Linked DNA regions of Xenopus tropicalis. The protein of the gene in region 3 interacts with the protein of the main gene of each other region in a pairwise test. Links are inferred from orthologs where the notes say so. Each region holds a gene or a part of one and is shown on either strand. Other genes may lie near its edges. The genes, in order: rcbtb2, agtrap and fars2.

Region 1 (3,653 bases), on a different chromosome or scaffold from region 3:
GTTAAATCTGCCAAGCACAATAGAATTTCTAACACATCTATGCAGGCAGGTATTGTATCACTGGCCCTATTAGCCGACTGAATTTGGTGCACTTTCACTAATAAGAAATAGGCCCAAACGCATTTTAAAGGGAACACATGAAGGTTGCAGTTGGCAGGCATTACAATTTGTGGTTACTTAGACTATAGTTTACATTCATAAATTATTTCATTTAAACTTGATATTGCTGTCTCAGTGCAACAGATTTAAGGAATACATATTCACACATTTGAAAATTCAGCATGCATGTCAGTTGGAACACATAAGAAAAATCTTTTCAGAATGCATACAACTTGAACTCATCAGGTCTTTCTAACAGTGTGTGAATGGGAAATTCAGCACTACTTCTAATATACTCATGTTTTTGAACTGCACATTCAGACACTGCTATGCAAATATTCCGACACATATCAAGTCAGTTTTAAACATATTCTGCAGACACTTTCAAATACTTGTGTTCATTAAACCATATGCTAAAATATGCTTTATTTTTAGATGGTCTTTAAATCAGACACAGGCAACCTGCTTGATATTCATCTAAAACCCCCACCATCCCCACAACTGAAAATAAGTTGCTGGGAGTTTTAGTGCAACAACATCTGGAGTTTTGCTGTGTTTCCTGTTCTGGTTGTGCACACGGGGCACCAATAGAATTAGTGCACACTGAAAGTTCATGATGATCAGATGTTAGATTATGCACACTGGAAAACAGGACCATCTGGATCAGACAGCTCACACAGATAAGCTTTAATCGGTACAAATCAAAATACATTTCTATAGTCAATATAAAGAATCTATTCTGGGGTATTCTGTGCTATGTACTGCCACTCAAAGATGGTTGTCTCTAAAAATAACAGTGGAAAAAAAAATCCAAACATGCTCGACACTGATGCTGTCTCTGCTTTACCTGATCTGGAGAAGAACTTTATGCACGTATATGTACTTTTCATCGACTAAGAACTTCAGGTCTGCTGTGTTAGGGTTGTCAAATTCTCTCTTTAGAGATTCTGCAACAGTAAGGTGATCATCTGGCTCTGAAAGAAACCAAAATGCAAAACAGAATGTAAATATAAAGGAACAGATAACATAGGGGTTGCATGGCACTTTACAGATATTTAGCATTTTTGCTCTTTAGCACCCAAGGCAGCAGGACATAAATTCATTTCCCCAAGGCCACAAGGATCTCAAACAAGAATTACAACAGGAACCAAGTCCTCTAACCACCATTTCTCCCAAATAAAATAATCACTTCACAATTATTAGGTCTATCTAAAAGAGGCTACTTATACAGTTTGCAAATGTTTTTCTTTATTAAACATTGTGTCTTAATGTTAGAGGTATAATTTGCCAAAATAAAATAAATAGGTGGAATTGCACAGCTTATTTTCCAAGCTGCCACTCATAATTTTAACATATTTTACGTTAACCAAAATATTCTCTATGAATTCAGAGTTACAAAAAGTGGTACTTTTATGCCCTCTACTGAGCACAGGAGAGACATGCAAAACAGAGAGGTAAAGATCCTACTAGAGAGTTATGTTATTGACAACAAAGGGGGGGGGGGGGCGGAATGTTAACACAGTCAGTTATATTTAAATAGCAGATTTGTTTAGAAATGCGTTTGCTAGAGTTGTAATATACAAATTCATACCTTAAATATCAATTCCACAAGTGTTTCCCTCTGCAACTCAGCTCCAATTGCAAAAAATACTGTTTGTACCAAAAGTTTATCAAACCCTACAGGCTTCCTGTGTTTTGCAAATCCCTCAGTCCAAGGGGATACTGGATTTCCCAGCAGGATGAGAGGTTTCAGTGGCATCTCACTGAAACACATAATACCCTACTTCCTCTGCATCGGGAAAAACTACAAGGCACTGAACTCTTTAGGGATATCAGACAGAATTTGCACTACACTAAAAATTTTTTTTTAAAAAAATGTAAATAGTCATAAGGAGATTTAATTTAAAAATAAACACTTTAGTGAACCAGGAATAAACGTAGGAAGCAAAATAAACACCCCCCCCCCACCAAAAAAAACCACACTGCTGTAGTACATGGGCCCTTATAATAATTCTTAAGCCATTGCAACCTTGGACTTGTGTTTGGTATTACTGTCCTGCTGGAAGATGAAAAAATGCAAAATGTCACAGTATTTCCCTTTATTATGTACCATCATTTTTTTTTTTTATTATTTTTTATAGCATGTATGTAGAGATGTATACCTACTACAGGTATAGGACCAGTTATCCAGAATGCTCGGGACCCAGGGCTTTCCGGATATGGGATCTTTCCGTAATTTGAATCTCCATATGGGTCTACTAAAAAATCATTTAAACCCAATAGGATTGTTTTGCCTCCAATAAGGATGAATTATATCTTAGTTGAGATCAAGTACAAGGTACTGTTTTATTATTACAGAGAAAAAGGAAACAATTTTTAAAAATTAGAATTATTTTCTTATAATGGAGTCTATGGGAGATGGCCTTTCTGTAATTCAGAACTTTCTGGATAAGGGATCCCATACCTGTAGTAAGTCTTGTCAGTAATTAAACGACTTTGAGAGCAGAAAAATTAGAAATATGTTGCCTCTGCTGCTACATCTTTTTCATTGCATTAGGAAAAATAGAGGTGGGAAGTGAGCGCCACACTCTACTGCAGTTGGTTGCTTCCCAGCTATATACTCCATCTTTAAATTTACAGTGCATGGGGTCTCGACAACACAGAGAAAGTGAATCTAGGTGTCTGTTCTTGAAAATTAAGGATACATTTTGCAGATATTATGAGATATAAGTAAAACTGCCTAAGTGTTCCCAAATTCTTACCTACAGACAGAAGGCGCCACATTATAGCTGGAGTTGAGAAGCAGGCAAACACATCGTCTGTGCAGGAGAAGTGAGTGAGATGTGGAGTAATGACAGACTGGCCCCGGCACTGGCCCCACATGTAAACTTGACCGCTCTGGGACTTAGCAGCAGAAGTGTGCGAAGAGTGACAGGCTGCAATCTCTACTATTCTGCTCACAGTACCAATAGAGAAATATAAATAGAAAAAAGCTATTACTCTTTGTACCAAGATATTTACAAGATAATCTACATTTATATTCTGCAAAGATTTTAGTCAAGAACATTGAATACATTTTTACTGATGTAAACCGATAAAGCTCCAATACTTTGAATGAATACATTTGTTTCAGCATTTGTCCTCTTCCCTGGAGCTTAAAAATAAGGAGAGTCTTGATATCGGATACTTAGGAACAGTAATCATAATGCCAGTGTTAGCTTCTTGCTAAATAAAATCATTATCCAGCCTAACAGTTTAAAAATATATTATATTCTGATATATTTCAAAATAAATACATTCTGATGAAAGGGCATGCCCCCCAAATGGCATGGCATTTTTTTTGATGCTGCACACATATTTTAGCGGTTTTACAGGTTTTTTTTTAAAAGTACAAATAAACTAATTTCCACGAAAACCACAAATGTCTAGTCATTTATTAAAACATCCGAATTGAAAAGGCACAAACAAATTAAAATGTTGTGATATTTACATTGTCCAAAAATATGTGTAGACTTTCAAATGAAAGAAAAACTCTACAACCATGAATTAAATGT
Region 2 (4,250 bases), on a different chromosome or scaffold from region 3:
CTCAGAGCTGCCATGTAATGTGAATTAATTACTAATCAGCCTTGTATTGTGAATGCTATATATACAGTATTGTGAGTAAAACCCTACACTCAGGGAAGTGACAGCAGCACACAGCATGTGTTGTAATTTAGCAGAAAAGAAGATGGAGAGCTACTGAGGGCATCTTCAGAGGAACAGATCTTCACTGCTAAAGGGCTGTGGTTGCCGTAGCATGGTACATAATAATACAAAACTTAATGTGCAGCATTTCTACCCTACTTCTTTGTTAAGTTTTAGTTCTCCTTCAAGAAATGGGATAGACTTGAATACTGGACTAAATTTATTTTCATTTTTTACTGTAGTAAGAAACATGCTTTGTGCGGTTTTAAATTACTAAGCTTAGGGACCGACACACAATATACTGTATGTATAGAGTATAAATGTCACAATATAAAGCTGATTAGTAATTAATACAGATAATTACTACATAGCAGCTCAGGAACCAGTGTAGTTTGTATCAAAACTTAATAATCAGCCCTGTAGCCCCAGGCCAACTTTATTATTTGCTTGATAATTTGCAACAACCTCTAGGCTTAGCTTCTCAACAGCTGTTTAGAGCACACTGAGCATGTGAGTGTCACAGACACTTTTTAAGATGGATCAAATTCAAGTCCTGCATCAACTTCATGTTTTTAATGTGAATAAGGACTTCTTTTAAACGATACTTGCCCAGCTGATGCAGAAAAAAAGGTGTTTTGAAAGCATTTTACCTCCTAAAACTGTCATTATATGAGAGCTGCAGAGACAACCTCTCAAGTCAGAAGCCAGAGTGAAATGAAGGTGGGAGTGTCGCTTCAGTCTCCCACAGGAAGTGTTCACAGCACTGACAGACAGGCTTTACTCAACAGTAGCAGGGAAAACCCATCCCAGTTTTCTCCTTCTGTGTCTCTCTGCTCCCTGGCTGCATAGTTTTGCTTGTGCTGCTGCCAGATCAGTAAGCTAGTTATTGATCAATAAGCATAGTTGTAAAATGTAAAAAAGTATAATAGTAAAATGTTCCTTTGTTAGTGGAATGGTATTTTTCAAAGCAAATGTGCACGATTCACAAATGAACGTGCCCAAGTGGACCTAACAATCTATAGTCCATAAAACATTGTTACACACTATGCAACTCCCTGCATCTATTATTAAATTATAAAAGATATACAAACAGTGCACATTAGTGTGTACTGTTATAGAAAAAAAAAGCAGTCTTTGTTTTTCTGCACATTGATACATGAGTACAGGGAGTTGCAGGTAAAACAAATCTGCAGTTGTTCTGGAACAGTATATGACCAGGTGCAGGGAGTTGCAGGTAAAACAAAGCTGCAGTTGTTGTTCTGGAACAGTATATGACCAGGTGCAGGTAAAACAAAGCTGCAGTTGTTGTTCTGGAACAGTATATGACCAGGTGCAGGGAGTTGCAGGGAATACATAGCTGCAGCTGTTGTTCTGCAACAGTATATGATCAGGTGCAGGGAATACAAAGCTGCAGCTGTTCTGGAACAGTATATGAACAGATGCAGGAAGTTGCAGAGAAAAAAGGTCACAGCTGTTATTCTGGAAATGCTTTTTTATTGCATGGACCTTCTACAAATTGTAAATTACCCCCACAAAATATTAAATGTTTTTAGTAGATTGTTTTTTTTTTCAATCATATTTGTTGTTGTTTTACCTTTTTCAGTTAACAGCAAGGCACAGAGTGAGAGGAACAATCAAAGCTGATTGGAGGAAGGTGAAGAACGATCTGAGAGACAGATGGAAACTATCAGGGTGGGTGGGACTGATCTGAGCATAGAGAGGGAGGCAGAGGGAACTGATCACTGGATCATAAGCGCTGTTGAGATGCTGAAACTTTAGACTGGTGCAGTAAGTCGAGTATATAAAATATGGCATGTTTAGCTTCCTCCGGGACCCCCCCTCCCCACCACACGTGCAAAGCACAAAAACCCAATGCAGGTGGGGAGCACCGAGAAATCCACTGTTGGGGTAAGAGATCCTGGACTAAGAGTAGGCGATAGAGGTACCTGCCTATTGCCCCCCAGGCAAGTGCCTCTTCTGCCTGTCCCTAATGGGACTTATTTTTGGGGTCCTGACCTTTGTGAAAATGTTCATGTTATCAGAATATTACCAACTGAATGTTTAAACAGCATACCTGACATCTGCAACAAGAACAGTATTAGAATGATAAAAAGTTTTTCTTTATACCAGCAACTGTACAATGTGGATCATTAGTGTAGTACATTATGTCATGAAGGAAATTTAACACATCAACAAAAAAAGGTTAAAGTCAATGGCCGTCGCTTTTCTAAACCTAAAGTAAAAGACTGGGCTGCAAAGTTTTATTTCAATACATACAATGGCTTTAGCTCTGCTAATTGCACAATAGCAATAAAGTGCCGAATTCCGGGAAAGTACGCAGCTTCCCTATTCACTGGGTATACACAACAGATAATGGCAATATGTATATAAAGCAATATGCTGAGAGCAGCCCCTTGGCACTACAGTATCTGCCTTTAGCCCCCACCTAGCGAAGCGTAAGGAAAATAGAGCAATACAATATTGTAAATGAGGATCGGATATGTTAGTTGGCAGTTACGGAGCAGTCATATTATACAAAGTAGGGTGCTGTAGTTCAACTGAACCTCATCCCATAGCGGAACCTCACGTTACCTCACATCTCCCCTTCCAGAAACACTTTAGAATAGTTTTTATAACGTTCCCACGCCCCCACTAATAAGTAGACAATTACTCTCTAAAGCTTCAATACCTTTAAGTTAACAGCCGGTAACTCCATATCCGTGACTCCTTTTGCCTTCCCTAAACTTCAGAAATTGCCTGCCCGACTGTACGCGCATCACGTGATGCCTCTTCCTAGCGGCTTTGCTCAACTAAGTCAGCGGGGTCACATGGGATTGTGAGCTGTCATGTGATATTGCAGCAATTGTTGGTTACACCGGTTTCATAATTGTGTTCTAGTTGAATAAATTGCCGGAGATATATATTTTTTGGCCACACATAAGCACGCGTGAAATTGAAACTCCATCCCCATGCGTGAAGTTAATATGAAAAAATGGTACCAAGTTCTTGGCTTTATTAAGGGTCTAAGAATCACAGTTCCTGTTTCCTACATGTACCTGACTTCAAGCAGAGTGGTGGTATAGGGTGTAATGTAAAACTCCTCAGTAGGGTAACCAGATCACTTGAGGGACGTGTCTAAAAAATCCAGGTAACAGGCTAACCTGATTGCAGTTTAGTTTAAATGCGAACAGTAATGTCCTGCAACGTGTATTTATTATATGTCCCTGAATATACAAGTGATCTGCTCAGAGGGTTTAATGCAATCCCTTCATAGCATTGGTGCCATGTTGTACAAACTGGCTGTGCTTCACATTGTTTGGGTGTGTGACAATCGTTTCAGTCATTAGGATTGCAACCTGGAAACTTTTTACTCCACCACCACACTAGAAAACTGGGCTGCTAGGATGGGTTTATTTCAAGAGACATATATCAAAATTATGAATGTACCAGTGAATTATACTCCTTTTAAATATATAAGGATTGTGCTTAAAAAAAGTTAGTGTTTCGGACTGACTTATTGAGAAATTCCGCCAAAACCCCACTAGTCCTGCCTGCTTGTTCCACTTCCTGCTGGCTGAATTCATACCTCCCAACATCTGAAAAATAAAAAGAGGGACAAAAAGATTTGGTGCGCGCAGCGTGGCAATTTTTGACCACGCCCACTTTTGTGGCCACGCCCCATTAAAAAATACTCCTTTAATATAGTTGAAATGGCGGGATCAGACGCAAATGTGCTATACCCTCATACTGTACTACCTAAGGAAAACAATATAGCAACTCCTACATATAAAATACAAATAAAGAGAGGAGGCAGTCAGTTATAAGTGAGTTATAACTATGTACCAGTTTTACCCCCCATACACAATGCCCCCAATGGCCCAATAGACAGTACCCCAATTGCCCCCATAGAAAGTACCCCCCCATACACAATTCCCCCATAGACTGTACCCCCCATACACAATGCCCCCATAGTAAGTGCTCCCATACACAGTAGCCCCCATAGGCACTCCAGCTTATTCTGCTGCTCTGCTCCTTATATGGCAGCGACAGGCCCTTTTATAAGGTTGCGCAACCTTATAAGGGACGCAACCTTATAAAAGGGCCTGTCGCCGCCGTACAAGGAGCGGCATAAGAAGCCGGAGCAGCAGAAG
Region 3 (4,248 bases):
CGCAACTTTTTCTAGTGCAGAGTAACAGTACCTTCATACGTTAATTACTTTGATACATTTTCATTTTTTGGTGTTACTGTTCCTTTCTATTCCTAGCAACTTTGCATTTGGTCTTCATTATATATTACAGTTTATTAATTATTTGCCTTCCTTTTCTGCTTCTTTTCAGCTTTTAGATGGGGTCCACTGAAACTGCCACACAAAAATCTATTGCTTTCTGAGGCCACAATTTTGTTATTGTTACTTTTTATTACTTATCTTTCTATTTAGTCCTTTTTATTTCCCAGTCTCTCATTCAAATAACTGACTGGTTGCTAGGTTAAAAACGACCCAAGCAACTAGATAGCTGCTGAAATACCAAACTGGAGAGCTGTCGAACGAAAACCTAAATAACCACAAAAAATAAAACAATGAAGACCAAATGCTAATTGTCTCAGAAACACTCTTCAAAACTATTCACAGGGCCAGAGAGATGTTAATAGAGTACTTAATGGATAGGAAAGCCACATTTTTTTGACTGCAGTTTAAATGTGAATATTAACATTTAAACTGCAGTACAAGAGAAACATATTTTCTCTTTTCACAAATTTATTTTTTTTCCTTTTGAAAAGAGGTAAATGTATGACATGAGTTGTAGTTATCTCACAGTGCCAGTTGCTGAGTAGATATTTCACAATGCCAGTCCCTGAGTATAGGGAATATTATGGTTTTACATGACAAATCGTGACAGCTCTGTAACTGAATTTTCTTACAGCTTAAACTCCATGTCAGTTTAATACGGAGTTAACATACAACACTGAGGCTTAAGCGTGCAGTGCGAATTAATCCTGACACAGGCTAATAATAAATGCTGAATATTGCACTATTACAAATAGCGCTGGGGTGCAATAAGTAAATAGAGCCTTAGGAAGATGCAGACACTCACACTCCCTATACAGTTGATAGGTGAACCAGCGTGAAAGTCTCTTCCCTTCTTTCACTTCTTGCCTACTTTCAGCAGCTTCTAGCGCAAGAACGCATGACGTCACGACTACAGGAGGGGATCTGGGACAAACGTGTTCGTGCCGCGTTTTGCTTTCGGTTGGAACTTTTGTGGTATTTTCTGTAAAAATGCTATTTGCCTAAAAAGCGCCTACGGCAAGTTGTTCCTCTTATCGTAACAGTCATATGTCTTTGTAATATCAGTGCTAAACTTTTAAATATTAAAGATACCTAAATCGGCGATCTATGGAAAATGAGAATGTCGTCGCAGCTGCGAGCGTTGGACCAATAGGGCTTTCTTTTAACACGTTTCAGGGATGTTAGAGTAAATTTACGCCGCTGACATGTTTGTCCCAGGTCCCCTCCCGTAGCTGTGACGTCATGGGCTCGTGTGATAGGATCTGCTGAAAGTGCCAAAGGAGGGAGAAAAGGGAAGAGACCTTCACATTGTCACATAGATTACCTGCTGCTTAGGTCGTGTGAGTGTCTGCACCTTTAGAACTATATGTTAAGCTATGTAGTAATAACCATTTATTGTATAAATATATATGTAGGCTACGTAGTAGATCTAATTATATTAGCTGTTTTAATACATGCTTTATATTACAACCTGTATTAAACTGGCAAATAACGTCAATACCCCCATCTTTAAACTATAAATGTTTTAAATAGGCAGTTCAAAGTGTATAGGAAATCTGTTCTTCATTATTCTTTATTATTCTTTAATATATCATACTCCCAGTACCCACTATTGGCAACATTTGGCTCTGCAGTTGTTGGGAGAATTGTGTACACTCACACACTTAACAGTTATACATTTATTAAAAATGTACTTGCAACCAATCTGTATTCTTTAAAAATACAGACAGTCCATAAGTAAGGAAGAAACACTCCCACAAGAAGACTCACTCACCATACCTGCACACATGCATTTAAAATTATATTGACACATGTATGATTTAGAGTGGCTCTGTGTGCTGCTATTAATGCATTTAGTAACTAAGCAGCATTTACAGTTTTTGTGTGATATTGTGTTGTAAGAACTAAAAACAAGTATATAGGTTCCTAATTGAGAGATTATGTTGGCGCCATATTTATGCGCTACCCATATTGCCATATACATTTAGGGGCACATTTACTAATCCACGAACGTCCGAAAAGCGTCCGAATGCGTTTTTTTCATAATGATCGGTATTTTGCTACTTTTTTGAGTGCTCAATACGAAAGTCGCGACAATTCACGAAATTTGTAATGGCAATGAAAAAGTCGCGACAATTCACAAAAGTCATAATAGCTATGAAAAAGTTGCGACAATTCGCGAAAGTCATACTGGCTATGAAAAAGTCGCGACAATTCGCGCAAGTCGTAACGGCTACAAAAAAGTCGCAAAAAATACGAAAAAGTCGCAAAATGTCCGTTTTCCAATCCGAATTTTTCCCATTCGGATTCGTGGATTAGTAAATCAGCCCCTTAGAGTAATAATTGTAGAAAACCATTGCACAAAAACTTCCAGCTTTGGCTCTGCAACACATTAATATACAACAATGTTTTAGGTGAGTCAAGCATGCCAAGTCTGCATTCTTTGCCTCTTTATTAAAACAAATTTAGCAGATATTTTTGCAGCTAATTACAGGTATGGGACCTGTTATCCAGAATGTTCGGGACCTGGGGTTTTCAATAATTACAGTAATTAAACACAATAGGATTGTTTTGGCTCCAATGAGGATTAATTCTATCTTAGTTGGGATCAAGTATAAGGTACTGTTTTATTATTGCAGAGAAAAAGGAAATCATTTTAAAAAAATGCAACTTATTTGATTAAAATGGAGTCTTTCCGTAATTCGGAACTTTCTGGATAATGGGTTTTCGGATAAGGGGTCCGAGACCTGTATTAGGGATGCACCAAATGCATAATTTCAGGATAAGGCCAAATACTGAATCCATCACTACAGATTTGACTGAATTCTGAACTAATCAGAACCCTAATTTGCATATGTAAATGCATGTTCAGGTGAATTAGATCCTGAAAAAATGGCTGGAATTTGGCAAAATCAGTGCATACTTAGTAGTGATGAACTGATACCTGCCTGTGTATTTTTTAATTGAGAACATGACCAGAAGCTGAAAGATATAACTTTAACAGTTCTATAGTTATCATACAACAACATAATTTATTGACTTTATGTTTATTTAGTGTAGCAACTCCAATAGCATTTATTTTTCTGCAGATTCCAAATGGATGTAAGAAAATATATTCTGTCAGGACTCAGGAAGCATTTATGGTCTTGTAATTCAGGAATTGGTGGAGTAAGCTTAGGTAAGAAAGTATATCAATATATACATTTTCTGTATGTTTGAGCTTATAGTTGTCCTTTATTATTCTCTACACTTGACAACACTACCTAGCATATGATCTATATTGAACATATTTAGGTTCACTCTGTACGTCATATCTTACAAAATAGGAAGGAATGCATTGGAGAAAACATGAACATACATTTAAGGTTTGTGTGCATTTGTTGTGTGTTTTTTTTGTTACAACTGAGTGAAGAAGAAATGTTATTGTAGCTTTTTACTGGCATTGACTTCTTTCTGCTGCTTCAAAGCATTTATTGTGGCACAAGTAGCCTTTAGGCCATATTACTACTACAGCTTACTATTAACGTTCTAGATATTTTTTCATCTCCATTTTAGTTTAGCTGTTTTCAAATAGTTCATCAGAAATGACTTTTATTAAGTGAGATTGATTGGTTTGAGATTTAGGTTTAGTTTAATTTTCCCTTTACAGGTTTAAGTAAAGGGGGCAACTAAGTAAGCGAGTGGGCACAGACTCTCTAAACTCTTAAGAAAGAAGGAAAGGCTAATAAAGAGTTAATCTCAAGCTGCAGGCATACCTTCAATTGAATTGCTGAAGATCACAACTATCACGAAAATGGTTACGAAAAAATCATATTAGTCACGATAATATCGTATTGGTGATCCGAAAGTCACAAAATTTTCGTACCGAATGATTGTAAACAGCGGCAGAAGCTTTCTGAATTTTTCGTGCAAGTGTACAGAAAAGTCGCACGGACGTACGAAAAAGCTGAAAATATGCTCGGAACTATGAGTTAGCTTCCTGCTGATTGGCTCAGATCCACATTCCTAAGGGGGGGAGTGAGTTCTTAGCATTCTTGAGGGAGGGGGGAGCAGGAGAGAGGAGACAGCAAAGAGCTGCGTGTCTCTGGCAGAGGAATTACAGACACAATAAATCTTTTCACGGAGAAG

Evidence for each region.
Region 1: the proteins of fars2 (region 3) and rcbtb2 interact in binary tests that used the Homo sapiens proteins (3 or more experiments, as listed by UniProt). The two-hybrid records come from large-scale screens. The link is inferred for Xenopus tropicalis from reciprocal best matches to the Homo sapiens genes FARS2 and RCBTB2.
Region 2: the proteins of fars2 (region 3) and agtrap interact in binary tests that used the Homo sapiens proteins (3 or more experiments, as listed by UniProt). The two-hybrid records come from large-scale screens. The link is inferred for Xenopus tropicalis from reciprocal best matches to the Homo sapiens genes FARS2 and AGTRAP.

What each region holds. Positions count from the first base shown.
Region 1 is NC_030678.2:135,041,772-135,045,424, forward strand, and holds part of rcbtb2 (RCC1 and BTB domain-containing protein 2), read right to left. Parts: intron 3,053-3,653; coding exon 2,862-3,052; intron 1,074-2,861; coding exon 947-1,073; intron 1-946.
Region 2 is NC_030683.2:65,681,358-65,685,607, reverse strand, and holds the start of agtrap (type-1 angiotensin II receptor-associated protein-like), read right to left. Parts: upstream 2,854-4,250; 5' UTR 2,816-2,853; coding exon 2,789-2,815; intron 1-2,788. UniProt on the Homo sapiens protein: Appears to be a negative regulator of type-1 angiotensin II receptor-mediated signaling by regulating receptor internalization as well as mechanism of receptor desensitization such as phosphorylation.
Region 3 is NC_030682.2:88,246,911-88,251,158, forward strand, and holds the start of fars2 (phenylalanine--tRNA ligase, mitochondrial), read left to right. Parts: upstream 1-1,352; 5' UTR 1,353-1,460; intron 1,461-3,209; 5' UTR 3,210-3,216; coding exon 3,217-3,298; intron 3,299-4,248. UniProt on the Homo sapiens protein: Is responsible for the charging of tRNA(Phe) with phenylalanine in mitochondrial translation.